Linked DNA regions of Nothobranchius furzeri. The protein of the gene in region 1 interacts with the protein of each later gene in a pairwise test. Links are inferred from orthologs where the notes say so. Each region holds a gene or a part of one and is shown on either strand. Other genes may lie near its edges.

Evidence for each region. The genes of interacting proteins can lie anywhere in the genome.
Region 2: the proteins of hoxa1a (region 1) and chic2 interact in binary tests that used the Homo sapiens proteins (3 or more experiments, as listed by UniProt). The two-hybrid records come from large-scale screens. The link is inferred for Nothobranchius furzeri from reciprocal best matches to the Homo sapiens genes HOXA1 and CHIC2.
Region 3: the proteins of hoxa1a (region 1) and fibulin-1 interact in binary tests that used the Homo sapiens proteins (3 or more experiments, as listed by UniProt). The link is inferred for Nothobranchius furzeri from reciprocal best matches to the Homo sapiens genes HOXA1 and FBLN1.
Region 4: the proteins of hoxa1a (region 1) and ccn3 interact in binary tests that used the Homo sapiens proteins (3 or more experiments, as listed by UniProt). The link is inferred for Nothobranchius furzeri from reciprocal best matches to the Homo sapiens genes HOXA1 and CCN3.

Annotation. Positions count from the first base shown.
Region 1 is NC_091751.1:29,552,078-29,556,375, reverse strand, and holds the start of hoxa1a (homeobox protein Hox-A1a), read left to right. Parts: upstream 1-1,460; 5' UTR 1,461-2,628; coding exon 2,629-3,229; intron 3,230-3,587; coding exon 3,588-3,967; 3' UTR 3,968-4,298. UniProt on the Homo sapiens protein: Sequence-specific transcription factor. Regulates multiple developmental processes including brainstem, inner and outer ear, abducens nerve and cardiovascular development and morphogenesis as well as cognition and behavior.
Region 2 is NC_091747.1:75,930,695-75,934,919, reverse strand, and holds the start of chic2 (cysteine-rich hydrophobic domain-containing protein 2), read right to left. Parts: upstream 2,802-4,225; 5' UTR 2,605-2,801; coding exon 2,474-2,604; intron 1-2,473.
Region 3 is NC_091741.1:53,756,796-53,760,950, forward strand, and holds the start of fibulin-1, read right to left. Parts: upstream 2,802-4,155; 5' UTR 2,575-2,801; coding exon 2,520-2,574; intron 2,362-2,519; coding exon 2,265-2,361; intron 1-2,264. Other genes in the region: trim24 (transcription intermediary factor 1-alpha), read right to left, coding at 3,632-4,141. UniProt on the Homo sapiens protein: Incorporated into fibronectin-containing matrix fibers. May play a role in cell adhesion and migration along protein fibers within the extracellular matrix (ECM).
Region 4 is NC_091745.1:41,805,760-41,809,763, forward strand, and holds ccn3 (CCN family member 3), read right to left. Parts: upstream 2,576-4,004; 5' UTR 2,488-2,575; coding exon 2,452-2,487; intron 2,158-2,451; coding exon 1,929-2,157; intron 1,825-1,928; coding exon 1,570-1,824; intron 1,406-1,569; coding exon 1,182-1,405; intron 1,062-1,181; coding exon 765-1,061; 3' UTR 502-764; downstream 1-501. UniProt on the Homo sapiens protein: Immediate-early protein playing a role in various cellular processes including proliferation, adhesion, migration, differentiation and survival. Acts by binding to integrins or membrane receptors such as NOTCH1.

The DNA.
Region 1 (4,298 bases):
AGCCATAATTTGAGCTATTTCCAATTTCAGCTGCAGGAATAAATAATTAGAAGACCAAATTTGCACCCAGGATCTGAGCATGACAAGGCTCCAAACACGGCGTGCAAGTTGCAAGCAAACACCCGACCCATGTTTGCCTTCAGGAGCTCATAAATCACTCCGTGGCATGAATGAGGCGGACATTAAAGAGAGCAATTGTGGCGTAATGTGCACAAATAAAAACCCCACTTACGTTTTCATGCGGGACTCCCCGATTCCTAAGCTAAAAGGGGCCGAGCTCTCTGCGTGCGTTTGGTAATAATTCATTTTTATGGCTTGTTTAACACGCGGCTCTGACTCGGAGACAGCAGCAGCAGCAGCTCAGGTTAAAGCTGCTCTTATTTAGCGTCGCTTCTCCACTCACACTGGTGGAATCTGTGATTTTTTTTATTTAAAGACAAGACTGGTTTGTGTGCGTTTCAAACCCCTCACTTCAATAAAGGGATTATGAACATTTTAGCACTCTTGCGCAGCTTTGATTGGATTTATGGGAACTCAATAATCCAGTTTAACTCAGAATCACTAAAAAACACCAGTTGAGATGAAAGCTGCAGTGATTTTTCAAAACGTGTCAAACTTAGCCGAAAGCAGAAAATCAGCTCTAACTTTGGCTGTGTGCGTGTGTGGGTGTGTGTGTGTGCGCGCGCGCGCGCGTGTGTTCAGATGAGGGGGTGGTAGGAGGAAGCAGGGGGCAGATGCTGCTCTCCTGCACTACGGGCCTGCATAACCAAATCATTCCGAGACAGCGCGCCTTTTCTGCGCCCCCGCGGCCACACAAAGAGCCGCGGAATCTCCGCGGGGCCCGGCTGGCCTCAAGCAGCAGAGACGCGATGGATCCTCCGCGCCCACTCACTACAGAGGCAGCTGCTGGAGAGGGGTGGGGGTGGAATGGAAACCAGTTCGTCTCTCTCTCTCTCTCTCTCTCTCTCTCTCTCTCTCTCTCTCTCTCTCTCTCTCTCTCTCTCTCTCTCTCTCTCTCTCTCTCTCTCTCTCTCTCTCTCTCTCTCTCTCTCTCTCTCTCCCTCCCTCTGCTATGTAGTTTGCAACAAGTCTTTGAACATTTTCACATCTAATTTTGTTTTTCTAACATCCTAAAACATTACATTTAAGACAAAGTAGAACTACATTTGACTAATGGAAAAAAGCTGCACATTTGAATGTTGCTAATATTTTACTGATACTGCTTGTTTGAGTACCAGTGAGACAACTTAGACGTTTGTAGGAAAAATAAATAGAGTGTAAAATCTGAATCACGCTTTTCTGAGCTGAATTAATCTACTTAATAACAGAAGCACGTTTATTTAAGTGCATGTCTATCTTCAGCCTGAGGGGGCGCTCATCCCTCCATCTGATCCTTCCCTTCGCCCTCCCTCCCTCCCTCTCCTCTATTCCTTCCTCGGTTAGAGGTTGGGCATCTGCTACAACCCCCTCACTCCCCTCCGCTCTCGCGCCTCCCGTGACCATTCGTTTTCCCAGCAGCTTTATTTGATGAACTTAACAGGATAATCAGCCCACTCGCACCTCGGGCTACATATGCGCATTAGCAGGCTTCGCATTATTATATCATTTGATCACCATACATGCATAATGAATACATGCGGGACTGGAACTCTGGTAGATGGCTGACCTATGACCCGAGAACGGAACAAAACATTAATATCACATCACCTTAATGGTTTTGTCTCCTAATCACGTTTGTGCGCTACTTCAGGCACATTTTAAACGTAATTTGAGCTTTTTGCGCATCCTTTTGCGGTGTTTTATGAATATATGACCGGATCATCTCTCCTCGTAACGTGAAATGCACAAACCTGCTCCTGCTGCGACCTTAAGAGGAAACGAAATTCTGCTGGAAGGTGGCTTGGTGCGATGGGATGGATGTATTTAACAGGGGAAACACGTCCTCTCCATCACATTGTAACAATATTTGCCCAGAAAATCCCTTAATGTTCCAGCGTGAAACATTTCACATCGGAATGGGACATTAATAGCCTAAAGATAGCCCGCGGCTGCAGCGAGCGCGCGCACTCTCAGCCATCCATCCTTCCTGGACAGAATGACACATGCGACACCAGGGCTTATACGCACGGAGACGCCAACACACGCGCGCACGCACACAGACTCACACTTCTCTGTTCTAAAAATACCTGAGGTCAGAGTGCAGAGCGGTCCACCTTGGATGACATCTCTCCTCAGTGTGAGATTGCGCAGCAGGGGGGTTAAAAGACACCGGGTTCACCGTCTCAGCAGCTCCTCGTGTGTCCCGGAGCTGTCCACCTCCGTCTGCCTCCCAGCCCATTGTTTGCTCGGCCAATACATTAGTGGCGACGCGCGTCACCTTGATCGACGAGCGCCTGGAATTTAAATAGCCCCTCAAACACCAATCTGTCACCGGCTAAAGGGACAAGGACCCTCACTGGCTGACCCGTGCCCACGTGACAGTGCCCGTTCATTGATATCCCCAGCACCCCCCTCCCTGCACTGATAGGGACAGAAAGGTAAAGGTTGGCACGGTCACTTTAGGGTGAGAGTGTGGAGAGATCAGAGGGGGAGAGGACAGTCTCCTGGTCCCAGACTAACGATGCTACAATGAGCAGCTTCCTAGATTACTCGGTGATGAGCGGTGAGGGTGGCTCATGTTCGATCAGGGCTTTCCACTCGGACCACGGGATTACAACTTTCCAGTCCTGCGGGGCTGCAATCAGCAGCTGCGGGGCGGATGAGCACTTCATGGCAAACAGGACTTCCCCTGACAGCATCCCTCACCAGCCGGCCTCTTACCAGCCTACTGCCACCTCTATGGGTCTCTCCTATGGGGCCCACCCGGCCTGTGGCTCTAACTATGGGCCCCAAAGTTTCTGCGCCACGTACAACCACTACACACTCAACCAGGAAGTAGACTCTGCACCTGCATTCCCCCAGTGCAGCCCTTTGATGTTTTCAGGTAACATCTCTTCCTCCATGGTGTCTCAGCATCGCCATGGCTACAGTGCTGCCACCTTGGGCCAGCTGCAGTATGCTGCTTATGGCGGGGGTCATGAACAGGCACCTTCTTATCCTGGGGCCTCCAACCCGCTGTCACCTCTGCATGCAGCTCACCTGGAAGCTTGCTGCTCACCTCTGTCAGAGAGCGCATCTTCTGCGCAGACTTTCGACTGGATGAAAGTCAAAAGAAATCCACCGAAAACAGGTGGGTGCAGAGCTGTACCAGCACGAGGGAGATAGGTGGGAATCTAGTCTGTTGCTATTATTGGTTTTAATTGGTTTTAATCGGTCAAGCAGACTGGAATCCACACAGGAGATGTTGACACTGCGAGCGCGTTGACGCGCAAACGCATTAAATGTCCATGTTTCCACTTCAAGCGTGCGCCCCTTTCTTTTAAAAGTTGGTTTAAAGACATTTGTCTTTAACTATAGAGTGTGTTTTATATGTAAAATAATTAGGTTTTCTTTGCCTGCTGCGTAAAAGTTGGTTCTTTTGGATAATCGCACAGTTTGTGCGTCCTTTGGGTGAGAAAATAAACTTGAATCCCTCTTCCTGTCCCCAGGTCGCTCCGGCGAGTACGGCTATGCGGGCCAGCCAAACATCGTCCGGACCAACTTCACCACCAAGCAGCTGACAGAGCTGGAAAAAGAATTCCACTTCAACAAATACCTGACCCGGGCGCGCCGAGTGGAGATTGCTGCTGCGCTGCAGCTGAATGAGACTCAGGTGAAGATTTGGTTTCAGAATCGGAGGATGAAGCAGAAAAAGCGCGAGAAAGAGGGGATGCTGCCGGCTAAGGTCCAGTCATCGCACCCGGAAGAAATAAATCAAGAGAAATTAGACGATGCCGCTTCTGAGAGGTCCGTCTCAGCGCCGTCCACGCCCTCTCCCAGCTCATCCACGGTGTCCTCCACTGGCACGGACACGTACACCTCTACCTGAGCAGCCTATCTGGGCCACACGGGCCTGTAAATACCAACGTTTAAATGTATCAAAACCAGAGTCTTTGTTCGTGAATGACATTGTGTGAACATTTATTAAAGTTAGTCCTCCATCCGGGAGCTTTTGGATCACCCTGGAGCTTTAGGTTTAAATTGTGCAATGTGTCTGCAAGAACATCTCTGTATCTTCAGATAAGTTTGATCTGTAACGTGAGCAAAAAAAGGCAGACACGAGTCTGCAAACGAAAACAAATGTAAAGTGGTGTATCCGGGTCATGGCGGGTATGCAGCGCAGGGTGCTGTTAAGTGAGCAACGCAATGACCTAGTACGC
Region 2 (4,225 bases), on another chromosome or scaffold:
GTTTTATTTGTGCCATTTCAAATGTTTTTTATCATTCATCGCATTAATTTTTATTTTTGATAGTGCAGTTAACTGCTCTCTTATTCTATTGTTTTTAGTAGGAATATTTATCCCTGATTATTTATGCTATGTTTTTATGTATTTTACCTGATTTTCATGCTTTCATTGTGCTTTGTTGATTTGTTCAAGCATTTGGCTCTTTTCTGTACAGCAGGTTGGTTAGCTGCCATGCTATTTTGAAATGGTGCTTTATAAATAAATTGGTATGGTATGGCATTGTTATATCGATATTTTCTTACATCCCTTTTAAAGCTGCTTTCTGGAGTTTTCCGCTTTCAGAAATGATGTATGATTTTTCAGAAATCCATAAAAGCGGTTGTCTCATCATGTACTGTGATAAAATGTAAGCAATGTGTCTTTTATTTATTTATTTATCTTTGCCAAGCACGCCCCCTGCCCCGCAGAGCTCCGTGCAATAGGAAACTGAGTGCCGATCAGAACTAACCAACAGCGTTAGACTACCTCTTACTTGCATCAAATTTAAGGAATACCTCGGCTGATGCAGAGATGATGAACTTTCCATGGACAAGTAAGTCTCTAAAATATAAATATATGAGAACACAACATGACATGAGAATAATACTCGTAAAACAACGTGTTTTAGATCTGTTTGTCGGCTACAGATGCACATTTATACGTGAAGTTGCGATCTTAAACAGAGCAACAGATTTTTTTGTGTGATATGCTTGTGAGCCACTAGATGGAGCCATCGGATAAGAGAAATACTCCGGAAAGAAGTTTTACGAGTTAAACTGAAAACCTACAGATAAAGTGAAATAAGCTCAACACGGCATAGCTGATCATACGATTACGGTTTAGTTTGCTTTAAACAGCAGGATGAAGGTTCATGTGATTCTAAATTTGTAACTAAAAGAGAAAATGACAAGAACAAGATCAGCTGATTCACAAACCAGTTCACAGCATAGCCTCTGCTTTTATACAATATGTAAACATAACAGAGATTATGTTAGGGATTATATAACTGAAATATTGTGATATTCTGTTTTATGATACTGAATCAATAATTAAATGCTGTGTATCGATTTCTACTGAGAATTTACATGCAAACATTTACTGTAATTTGTTTGTGTGGCGTAGTTCACTCCGTCTGCTAGGTGGCAGCAGTTTTTAACCGCCTACATTCTGATGGAACAAGATGTTGCGATAACACTGGATGTGTCTTGGGTGAGTTTTCTACTTAAATTCAGTCTTGATCTGGCTTTTAGTACCGCATTATGTTGTTTCTGGTGGTGTGAAGTATATTCTTTTGCCACATTCGATACACAGCTGATCTCTTCATTTAAACAGGAACAAAACAAGCAGACAAGTTATCTTTTCTCCATCTCGGGTTATTGCAATCTTTGTTCAGATGTTTAACTTCACTTATTTACAAGTTTTTCTTTTCATACAGTGTTGCATTATTTTTCCACCAAGACCTTGAGAGTCCAACCGCTGCACAAAGCCTTTTCTGGCATACCCCAGAGACTCAGTGATGTTATAGTCTGGGCTCTGCGGTGGACGATCCATGTGTCTCGTGCTCCCTGAACCACTCTTCCACAGTTTGAGACTGATGGCTCCTGGCACTGTTATCTGGGAACATGCCATCAGGGAAGAAAAACCCCACTGATGGATTAATCTGATTATTCAGTAAGTTCAGCAGACCTCATTCTTGGGGCACATGATGTTGCTGAACCTAGGCCTGACCAACTGCACTGATTCTAGATCTGAAATCCAGAGGGCGGCTTATTTTTGGACAAAAAAGTTGGCAGCAAATTGGTGAAAAGGCACCTTAAAGTAACCTTGAGACCACTTCAAAAAGCCTGGAGATACTGACTATACATCTAGAAAGGGTTGGCAGAATGTTTAAGATATTTGAAAGAAAATAAATAATTTAGGCCAGGTTTTAAACTCTTGCAGCATAAAAAGGTACATTTTAGATGCTTCAGAATATCTACACCAAGAAGATGGAGCAGCTTGGGTGAACAGTATCATCTAGTATTTTTTATGTGTAAACCGTCTAAACTCGAAAAAGTCTGACCGGAAGAGACAAGATTCGGGAAACTGAGTCCAGCTGTTACATATGAGGAATGAAACGGACGTTAGTAAATATAGTTAACCACAGTAACTTTGTTTTTATAATTAAAAAACAATGCTGAATGCTCGACAAAGAGTGCCGTTGGTATCAACAGCGGGCTGACTTGTCAGTGGCTAAAATAACACAATTATTATGGTGAATTCACGATGAGAAAACAAAACAAACTCTTCACCGCCGTCCTCTAACTGCTCACTGTAGCCAGTTGTTAGCAGCTAGCTAACTCGGCTAAGTCACCAGCTAGTCCGCAAGTTTCCCCTCACACCCCGACAAGTTGTCTTTTACCGGGAACGATCCCCGCCAGTCCCGCCGGTAGCTTACACAGTAGCGTGGCCGGAGCCTCGCACCACCACCGGGTCCGGAGCATACTTGAGGAGCTGCTCTTCCGCGGCCCTGTCCTCGTCCTCTTCTTCTTCCTCCTCTTCGTAGATCTCATCAAAGTCCTCCATCATCTCCCGACTCGATCTCACCCCGGTAAAGACACCGGGAGAGAAACGACACCGAGAACCACGGAAACCTCTCAGAGAAACGCGCACTGAACAGAGAGGATGACCACAAAAATATCAAGTAGCTCCCATCGCTGTCCGAGGCGAGCTACTAACAAAACATCAACATCCGCCGCAGTAGCTGTACGACACCGGAAGTGGGACCGACGTCCTTACGTCTTTTTGTTTGTAGTTTCTATCATAGTCACTCAAATAAATTGTTACTTAGTTTTTGTTTCCTTTTTCTGAATTTGACACACACACACACATAAAGAAAAAAAAATTATTAATGAATATAACCATATTCGCCTGAATCCAGACTAACAGAAATAAAGAGCTTAAAAATAAATAAACATGGCAAAAAATATATCATAATAAATAAGGCAAGGGGAAAAAATGGTAAAAATAGAATAAAATCACATTTTCATTTTGGTTTTCTACTCTTAAAAATTCTATTCGTCTTTTGTTCCTTTTTTATTTCATTTGTTAAAAACATGTTTACCTCATTCTCATTTCTTTCTTGGTGATAGTTGTACTTGTTTTTTGGAAATTCACTTTCGGATGTTTTTTTATAGATATAATATATTTGATTAGAAATTACACACGCCTGCTGATAAAACGTTATAACTAAATTAGTTTATTCAATATTACCTACTACTCCTTGAACCGTCACCTTATCGTGGTGGAGGAGTTTCAGTGCCCTAATGATCCTAGGAGCTATGTTGTCTGTGGCACTTTGTGCCCCTGGTAGGGTCTCCCATGACAAATTGGTCTTAGGTGAAGGGTGAGACAAAGAAAGGTTCAAAGGATCTTTCATGGATGTAAATTCAAAGAGTCGGAGTACCCGGCCCGGAGGGTTAACTTACCGGGGTCCCACCCTGGAGCCAGGCCTGGGGTTGAGGCCCGTGAGCGAACGCTTGGTGGCCGGGCTTTCGCCCATGGGGCCTGACCGGGCCCAGCCCGAACCGGATACATGGGCTCATCCAACTGTGGACCCACCACCTGCAGGAGGAGCATGAAGGGTCCGGTGCAGTGTGGATCGGGTGACAGACCAAGGTGGGAGCCTTGGTGGTCCGATCCCCGGACAAGGAAACTGGACTTTGGGACATGGAACGTCACCTCACTGGCGGGGAAGGAGCAGGAGCTTGTGGCAGAGGTTGAGCGGTACCGGCTAGATATAGTCGGACTCACCTCGACACATAGCATTGGCTCTGGAACCCAAGTCCTTGAGAGGGGTGGGACACTCTCCTTTGCTGGAGTTGCACCCGGGTGAGAGGCGGAGGGCTGGGGTTGGCTTTTTGTTAACCCCAAGTCTCTCTGCCTGTGTGTTGGGGTTTACCCTGGGGGATGAGAAGGTAGCTTCCCTGTGCCTTCGGGTCGGGGAACGGGTCCTGACTGTTGTTTGTGCTTATGGGCCAAATATCAGTTCAGAGTACCCACCCTTTTTGGAGTCCCTGGGACGAGTGCTAGATAGTGCTCCATCAGGGGACTCCATTGTCCTGCTGGGGGACTTCAATGCTCACGTGGGCAATGACATCTTGACCTGGAGGGGTGTGATTGGGAGGAACGGCCCACCTAATCTGAACTC
Region 3 (4,155 bases), on another chromosome or scaffold:
CGTTTCTGGGCTTCAATGTCAGAAAACAGCTGAGTGAACTCGGCGCTGAGTGAGAGGAGTGTTTAGTTTGTCCGAGACAGCGGAGCTGCAGACACTGGCAGCAGACGCTGGAAAAAACACAAAGGAGGGGGCGCGTCGGCTCCGCGCTGACACCGCAAAGCATCATGGGAGTGAAGTCTTTGCGGTAAAATCGGCCAGCGGGTCAGTTTTAATGTATTTTTGATATTTATCTCGCGGGCCACATTAAAATGCTCCGCAGGCCAGATGCGGCCTGCGGACCATGTGTCTGACATATGTGTTCTATTTGATCTGGAAGGAACACAAACAAACAAACATGGACAGACCGTGCTACTATAAAAGCAGAGAAGAGCTGCTAAAAAGTTTCAGTTTTCAGAGACAACAGTGCAGCTAAATGGGGACGGCAGTGGCAGAGTAGTTAAGTGCCTGTCTCATAACCGGAAGGTGGTGTGATCGAGTCCCGCTCAGTCTGTCGCAGTTGTGACCTTGGGCAAGACACTTGACCCACTCTGCCTGCTGGTGGTGGTCAGAGGGACCGATGGCACCGGTGTTCGACAGCCACGCTTCTGTCAGTGTGCCCCAGAGCAGCTGTGGCACACACACAACCAGTGTGTGAATGGATGAATGGTTGTGCTGTAAAGTGCCTTGGGGGGTTGTAATACCCTATGGCTCAATGTTCTAGGCTCAACATGTCACATTAATCAGCTAATGAATCCAGAACACCTGCAAAGTGTTCCTGAGCATTTAGAGCCGCGGTGCCCAATCCTGGTCCTGGAGGGCCGGTATCCAGCATGTTTTAGTGGATTCTCTGCTCCAACACGCTTGATTCGGTGGTTGAATCATCCATGCAGCAGCTCATCAAGCTCTGTAGAAGTTAATCTCCTGCTGATTGAAATTAGGTGAGCTGAAACAGGGTTAAACTAAAACATGCTGTATACCGGTCCAAGACCAGGACTGGGCACCCCTGCTTTAGATGGTCTCTCAGTCAAAGTTGAAATAAAAAAACTTTTGCCCCATATTCTAATTTTTCCAGTTTTACCTGCATTAGTATAAATCTGAGGATGTTAGAAAGTGCCTCTCTCCATCAACAGTCTGCTATGGAGACAAAATTCATAAATGTAATTGGGGGCCACACAAAATCGCTCTGAAGACTGTAAATGGCCCTCAGACCACCGTTTGGACACACCTGACCTACAGCAACACTTTTTGATGTTTTTTCATTCTGAGTTTTACTAATATGACGTCATTTTAGAGGAGTGCAAATAAATAAATCACAATAAACTACATTGTGTATTTAAAAACAAATAAAGCAAAGAAATATAAGCTGTACGATGTTGGCTCTTATCTTGAAAAGTTTGGAAACTCCTGTTCTATATTGTCCCTATAGGGTGTGTGTGTGTGTGTGTGTGTGTGTCTGAGATGAACTGGAGACATGATCATGGTGCCTCCACCCCCATGCCAAATGACTGCTGCAGACAGACACCGGCTCCCTGCGATACTATGAGGAGTCAGCGCTAAAGATAACAGATAGATGAAATGAGAATGGTTTAGGAACGAAGGAAAGGATCCACAAAAAAGTTTTTGTCAGTTTAAACCCCTTGGGGGGGGGGGGGGGGGGTTAGGGGGGGGGGGGGTCTGAACACCTACATCTACTGAGTTGCTCCTCCCTTATAGAGAAGTTCAGAAGTGTGAATTCCTGAGGAATTCCTGCCCTCAGGAACCACACATCCCACCCTCTACTCAGAGAGGTTTGCTGCATCTTTCTGTTCTTCACGAGCGAGCAGCGCACGGGACGGCTACCCTGATCAGTGCAGACTCAACCCCTCCATTGAACCCACATTTTCAGTTACTTCCGTCAGGAAGGAGGTTCAGGGTTCCACTGGACAAGAAAGGTGTCTATAAGACATCGTTTGTTCCCACCGCAATTACAATTTAGAATTCTTAAAGTTTTATTTTTCTACGATAACATTCTAATACCTTTTAAATGTCTTTTTATGTATTTGTGTGAACGCGATATGGATTGTATTGTAAGGTGAGCCATGTCAAAGGCGAATTTCTGCCTCAATTCGAGGTGGACAATAAAGTTCATCGATCTATCTCTTCTTGTGTTTGTGTGAAACGACAAACTTTGGTTCACTTCAGACACAACATTTAATTCTGGCTTGTTTTTAAACCTCTGAGCACTTTGAGATTTAGATTAAGCGCAGCACAACTAAAACTTTAGATTAAGTTGAGACGTTGCTCACCTGCAGATGAGTGAGGTGACACGAGGAAGGAAGGAACAGTCTTGATCCCTCTGTGCGATTGCCCTTCCAACCTCACAGCACTCCTGAACAGAGCTCTCTGGTGCGATAATCACAGATTGGGTTAAGAAGCAGAGCTTGTGTTTTAAATCAAAATAAGATACAGCCTGCAGTTTAACTACCAATCAAATCAATGAAATCAATTCCCAAATAAAGCCTCGTGGAACACAACTTTGCAGGTCCAACGTCCTCACTTACCAAGCCCGTTCAGAAGTCCGCAGAGAGAAAATAAAACAAAACCCCAGAGAGCCATCCGGCTGATTTAGGAGAACGATCCAGACGTTGGTGATCTTCTCTGATGCTGGCTGGAGTGAAAACAGAACATCTCGGTGGAAAATTTTGAGAAGGAGACACAGACGTGTCCGTCGGGGAGGTCCGGGGAGGGCGGTCAGGCTAGGGGTGGGAGCTCTAATGATTAAAACAAATCTGATAAGAGCATTTATTTAAAATCACAGCAGTGTTGAAGTATAAGTAAAATGACCTAGAAGATTAAATAAAACACATTTATCAGCTCAGAGTGTCGCCTTATTCTGTGGCTTTTTTATTTTATAATTTCATCCTGCGACTATTTGAAATTCCCCACAGCAACAATCAAAGTCAGCTGGTAACCCCCGACAACACAGTCGTACGTGACGTGTAACCCTGTTTATTATAAATACAGTAAAGTCGGGTAAAGTGGTGCGTAAACCCGCGGTGTAACGCTGTTTTATAACATGTGTAATTCCCAACAGCATCTAATCAGGATGCAGTCATTTAGGACACAAGCAGTACAACGGGAGCCGATTATGACGTCTCTGCTTTATCTCAGACTGATAGCGAGTAAATCAAGGATTGTTGGTACTGCGGTGAAAACAAGGCTTCGTTGTGATTACTGGGGGGGAGGAGGGACAGGAAAGTTTCAACTGGCAGCACAAAGTTGAGACAAATAACCAAGCAGCTCATTTCTCCTCTGATTTGATCATTATTTACAGCACTTATGGTCCTATTTAACACTATAAATACAAAGAAAATACTATTAAAAACAACTGATTTCCCAACATAACGGCTACTTGGTGTGTTAAAATCTCCGGAGACGTGTTTCATGCACCGCAGCTCCTGAAGAAGACTCAGCCTATGATCTATGAGGTTAGGAGGAGCATTTGCAACTTAAACGAGACGAACGCGGTACGTTTGTGCGCTTCAGTCATCACACGGAGGTTATTTACTCCTTTAGTTGTGCATCTACAGTCTGTCTCATTCTGACACGATCTACGTGCAAACCCAAGTCTGCGGAAGACTTTGATCGGCCATCTTTTCTTCAGTTTCTTCATTTATTCAGGGGCTGACTTATCCTGACAGTCAGGAGGAGCTGCGGTTTTGTCTGTCAGGAGCTCAGGACTCTCCTGTTTTAAAGAGCTGGAAGCGTTTCCATCTTCGGCGTCATTCTCAGCAGAGGGCCGGTGTTCCGCCTGCTCCATCTTTGTGTTCTCTTTTTGCTTTTCCTCCTCAGAAGGAAAACGTCTTTCCTCTAGGCTACCCACAACTTCACTCGTCTCCTTTGATCCCGTCTCGGTCTTGTCTGTGTCCGGCTCCTTGTCGTCTGTTGGGCCTGGGTCCACTTTAGTCCCCTTTTCTGCAGGATTTTGAAGTTTGTTGCATTCAATGTGAGCCGTGCTTTCCTCTGCCGTCTGTTCCTCCTCTTCTTCAATTTCCTCCTCCAAAGGGGGGATCATCTGCTCCTCTCTCCCTCCGGGGAACACCCTGTCTGGGTAGATGAGCTTCAGCTGCTCCTCAAAGTATTCCTCCAGGTACAATCCTGCACTTCCAACCTCAGAAGTCGCCTGGGGGCATTAGG
Region 4 (4,004 bases), on another chromosome or scaffold:
TCTAAAATAAAAATTACAGGCCTCTTGTACATTAAAGTGTCAATGTGTACATTTTACCTTTAATCTCTGGAAAAATTGACCAAAATGTTGTTGAAAATGAATAAAATGATGTCCATGCCTTGAAAAAGTTTGGCGGCTTTGTAATATATAACCATAAAAAAGTACATAGGGTCTAGTGTCTTTGTGGGATGCAATATTAGACGCCACGTTTCCTTCTGGCCGGTTCGGGATCCTGTGCCTCTTTATGACGTCACACTGTGTGATTGGCCGGGTGCACGACTTTATGACGTTACCACGTTCAGAAACATTTGGGTAGTAAGAAACATAAAATTAACAACAAGACTGCTAAACTCTTTCCAAAACGGATGTGTAAGAACAAGATTGAAAACGAGATGCAATATATTTAGGCCGATGACGTCATCGGCAGGCTCAGGACCCCGAGCAGATCTAGAAACCGCAACGCCAGAAAAATACAATCGGCATTGCATTCTCTCGATGGGATTAAAGGAAAGTCCATCAAAGTCTGAGGAGTCACGCCGAGGTCACATGCTTTCTGCTCCTCAGGCAACAACACTTTCCATGATGTTTTTTTTAAACTAGCGACAGTCACGTTGAGACGGTGTAAAACTACCCTGAAATGTATGTACTTCCCCCTAGCACCAGGAAAATACACACCACCACTTTAATGACTATTTTGTATAATGTGGACTGTTTTGTTGTTTTCTTAGCCAGCTTATAGCCGTTTACACCCGACTCACAACCTCCTATATTCTCATGCCACTGTATGTGAGCTCCGATGGCTCCCACACGCCGTCGTCTCGGGGGCAGTGGCTGTGGCAGGCACAGGTCAAAATGGCCATGACAGGCCTCCGGGTGCTTTTACCGTTGGGGCACAGGAACTCCACCAGGCTGGTTTTGGTTCTGTGGGGGGTGCAGCAGCGGCCGTCTGTGCAGGAGCCACAGTAGCGAGGCTTGTATGCCTGAACGCTGGTGCAATTCTTGTAGGAAAAGTGAACTGCGTTGTTGCTTCTTTCCACCTTCTGGCACCTACTGCCTCTCAGCTAGGACAGCAGAGACATTTATTGCAATTAAAACATGAGAAAAGTTTTTCTTGATATTAAAAGCTTATATTTTCTTAATTTCCGTGCAGTTTAAATCCTAAAATCCCAAAATGAACGTACCCTTGGTGCAAGCTGTGTGAGCTGGTCCTGCTGCTCATCACAGGGCCTTATAACACAAAGACGACTCTGCTTCACCATCTCACACCGATCGTTCTTGTTTGTGACCCTGGTGGACACCCCCATGCCGCAGGTTTGAGAGCATGCCCCCCACTCTGTGGTCTGCTCGATGCAGTTCAGGCTGGGGTCCCACCCGTTAAAGCTGACGGTTTCTTCCTGACGAAAGGCTGAAAACACAGAAGCATAAAAGGTTTGAAGGGGTCTTTTCCTCAACGTACTTCTGACCAAGCTCTGACAGAAAAATTCATCACGTTGATGCTACATTCCAAACATGTACCTAACCTTTTAGAGTCTTGGCTCACAGGAAGTTTTGGGTGTTCTGATCACTCACCTGCCAATGCAAATCCCCCCAGGGCACTGGACTCCGTCTGGGGCTCACACACCCACTTCTCACAGCACTCTCCAGGCACCTGGATCTTACGCGGCACTGGACAGTCGGGACCCGGCAGCATGACATCCAAGTTGCAGCGAGGCACACAGCCGATCTGACCATCTCTGCAGATGCACTGGTACTTACAGCTGGGGAAGAAGATCTGCCCATTCTGATACACAGATCCATCCAAAACACACACATTTCCTGCGCCGACTGGAACAAGGACACCAAACAGCGAACAAAGACATTTACTTATTTCATTTTGCTCTTGAGGTAGTTTATTCCAGGATCTGTGAGTGTAAATGCAGCCCACTCACCGACACAGACACCAGTCCTCCTGTGGATGTTGACAGAGTAATTACACAGCAGCCCTTTACGGGTGTCACATGGGTTCAGCTCAGAGCAGACTTGACCTTTTTGACCTGCACACACCAGGCAGCAGGCGCAGTCATCCAGGACCAGGGGCACCCCGGGAAGGCAAGCGGGGATCTCTGTAGGACACTGACATCTCCGAGGGCACACCTGGGATCGGGCTAGAGTCAAAACCTGTGAGGGAAACAAAGTTCTGTTTCATATAGCTGGCATCTAGTGGATGAGGGGCAGTTGGACTAAAAATTAGGAAAAACTTTTAAATAAACATTCTGAAACAGGTAAACATTAAGGAATTCTGATGATGTTAGCTGTTTAACCAACACAAAATGACAAATTTGTGTTATTTTGACTCTTTGTGGATATCAAACATGTCTAAAAAGCAATGCCATTATTTAAAAGAAAAGTCATTTGCTAGAATAATAAACTGTCTATATAATGATTAATATATGTAACAGCAGTATTTCTTACCTGTGTTGCAACAAGTAAAGCTAAAAGATTTGTCATCTTGTTGCGTTACACGCTAACAGCTTTGTTGAGTCTTGAGATTGGGGGTCTGATCTACCCTCCTGGCTGTGCTGTAGCAGGTCGGACTCTCTCTGCTGTTGTGTCTCAGGACTCTGGAGAGGAGGGCCTTTTATATGACAGAGCTGACTGGCTGCTACCATGACGACAAAGAAAAAGGAATTCCTGGAGATACTTGAGACAGTTGGATCAATAGCCAAGTCACATTTCGTTGTGAGATCCTGTCAAATAGTTTGAAGTTCACTTATTTGTTTATTTTACTTGTAGTTGACTTTTTCTCAAGGAATCCCTCACTTTAACTCAATCTGTTACAATTATTACCTACTTCCTGCTGGTTTCCTTATTCCAGAGCCTTTGACATTTGACCTGATCCCTAACTGGGAGGTCACGTTGGAATACCATGCAATTCCCAAAGGAATTGTTTCTGTTTCCTTAAATAGCAGCACAGTGGAAACTTTAGACAGGGATGAAGGAGAGAATAACACCACTGTCAACCCATCTGGTGACATCTGGTCCCGAAGAGTTTTATGATATTTTCATAAACAAAAAAAATATCCTTATTGACGAGGGAGTTTAAAAGACCCGATCAAGGCTAAAAATGTAATCCGTGAGTTTGATTTGAGTTTAAATGAGATTAACTTTGGATTTCAATTTGCAGATTGTTTTCCCTGTTTGTTTATACTATGGAATAACATTTTACTGGTGAAAATGTTTAAATGTCAATGTACAGTTTTCATTTGGATTGCATATTATTTTTTTTATAGTTAGTGTACTAAAAAATAGATATTACCAGGAGATGCACAGATACAGCAGCAAAAAACACCATGCAAAGAACATTAAAGCAATAAGTATGGAAGCCCATTCCCGCCACTCAGAAAAATAAATCACATAATTAAGACTTTGTGTCTCAATATGATAAGGCACTATCTCATAACTGTGAGATAGCTAAGTCATATTTATGAGATGCTAAATCATAATTATGAGAAACTAAATCATAATTTAGAAATACTAAATAAAAGTAATGAGATAGCATCTCCTATTTTTGAGATAGCCAAGTCATACTTTTGAGATATTAAATTATATTTTTGTGATACTAAATCATAATTATGAGGTAGCTAAGTCATAAATATGAGGTACCAAATCATAAGTATGAAATACTAAATCATAATTATGAGGTAGCTAAGTCATGAATATGAGGTACTAAATCATAAGTGTGAAATACTAAATCATAATTATGAGATACTAAGTAATAATTAAGAGATACTAAATCATATATATGAGATACTAAATCCTAATTATGAGTTAGCTAAGTCATAATTATGAGATACCAAATCCTAATTATGAGTTAGCTAAGTCATAATTATGAGATACTAAATCCTAATTATGAGTTAGCTAAGTCATAATTATGATACTAAATCCTAATTATGAGTTAGCTAAGTCATAATTATGAGATACCAAATCCAAATTATGAGTTAGCTAAGTCATAATTATGATACTAA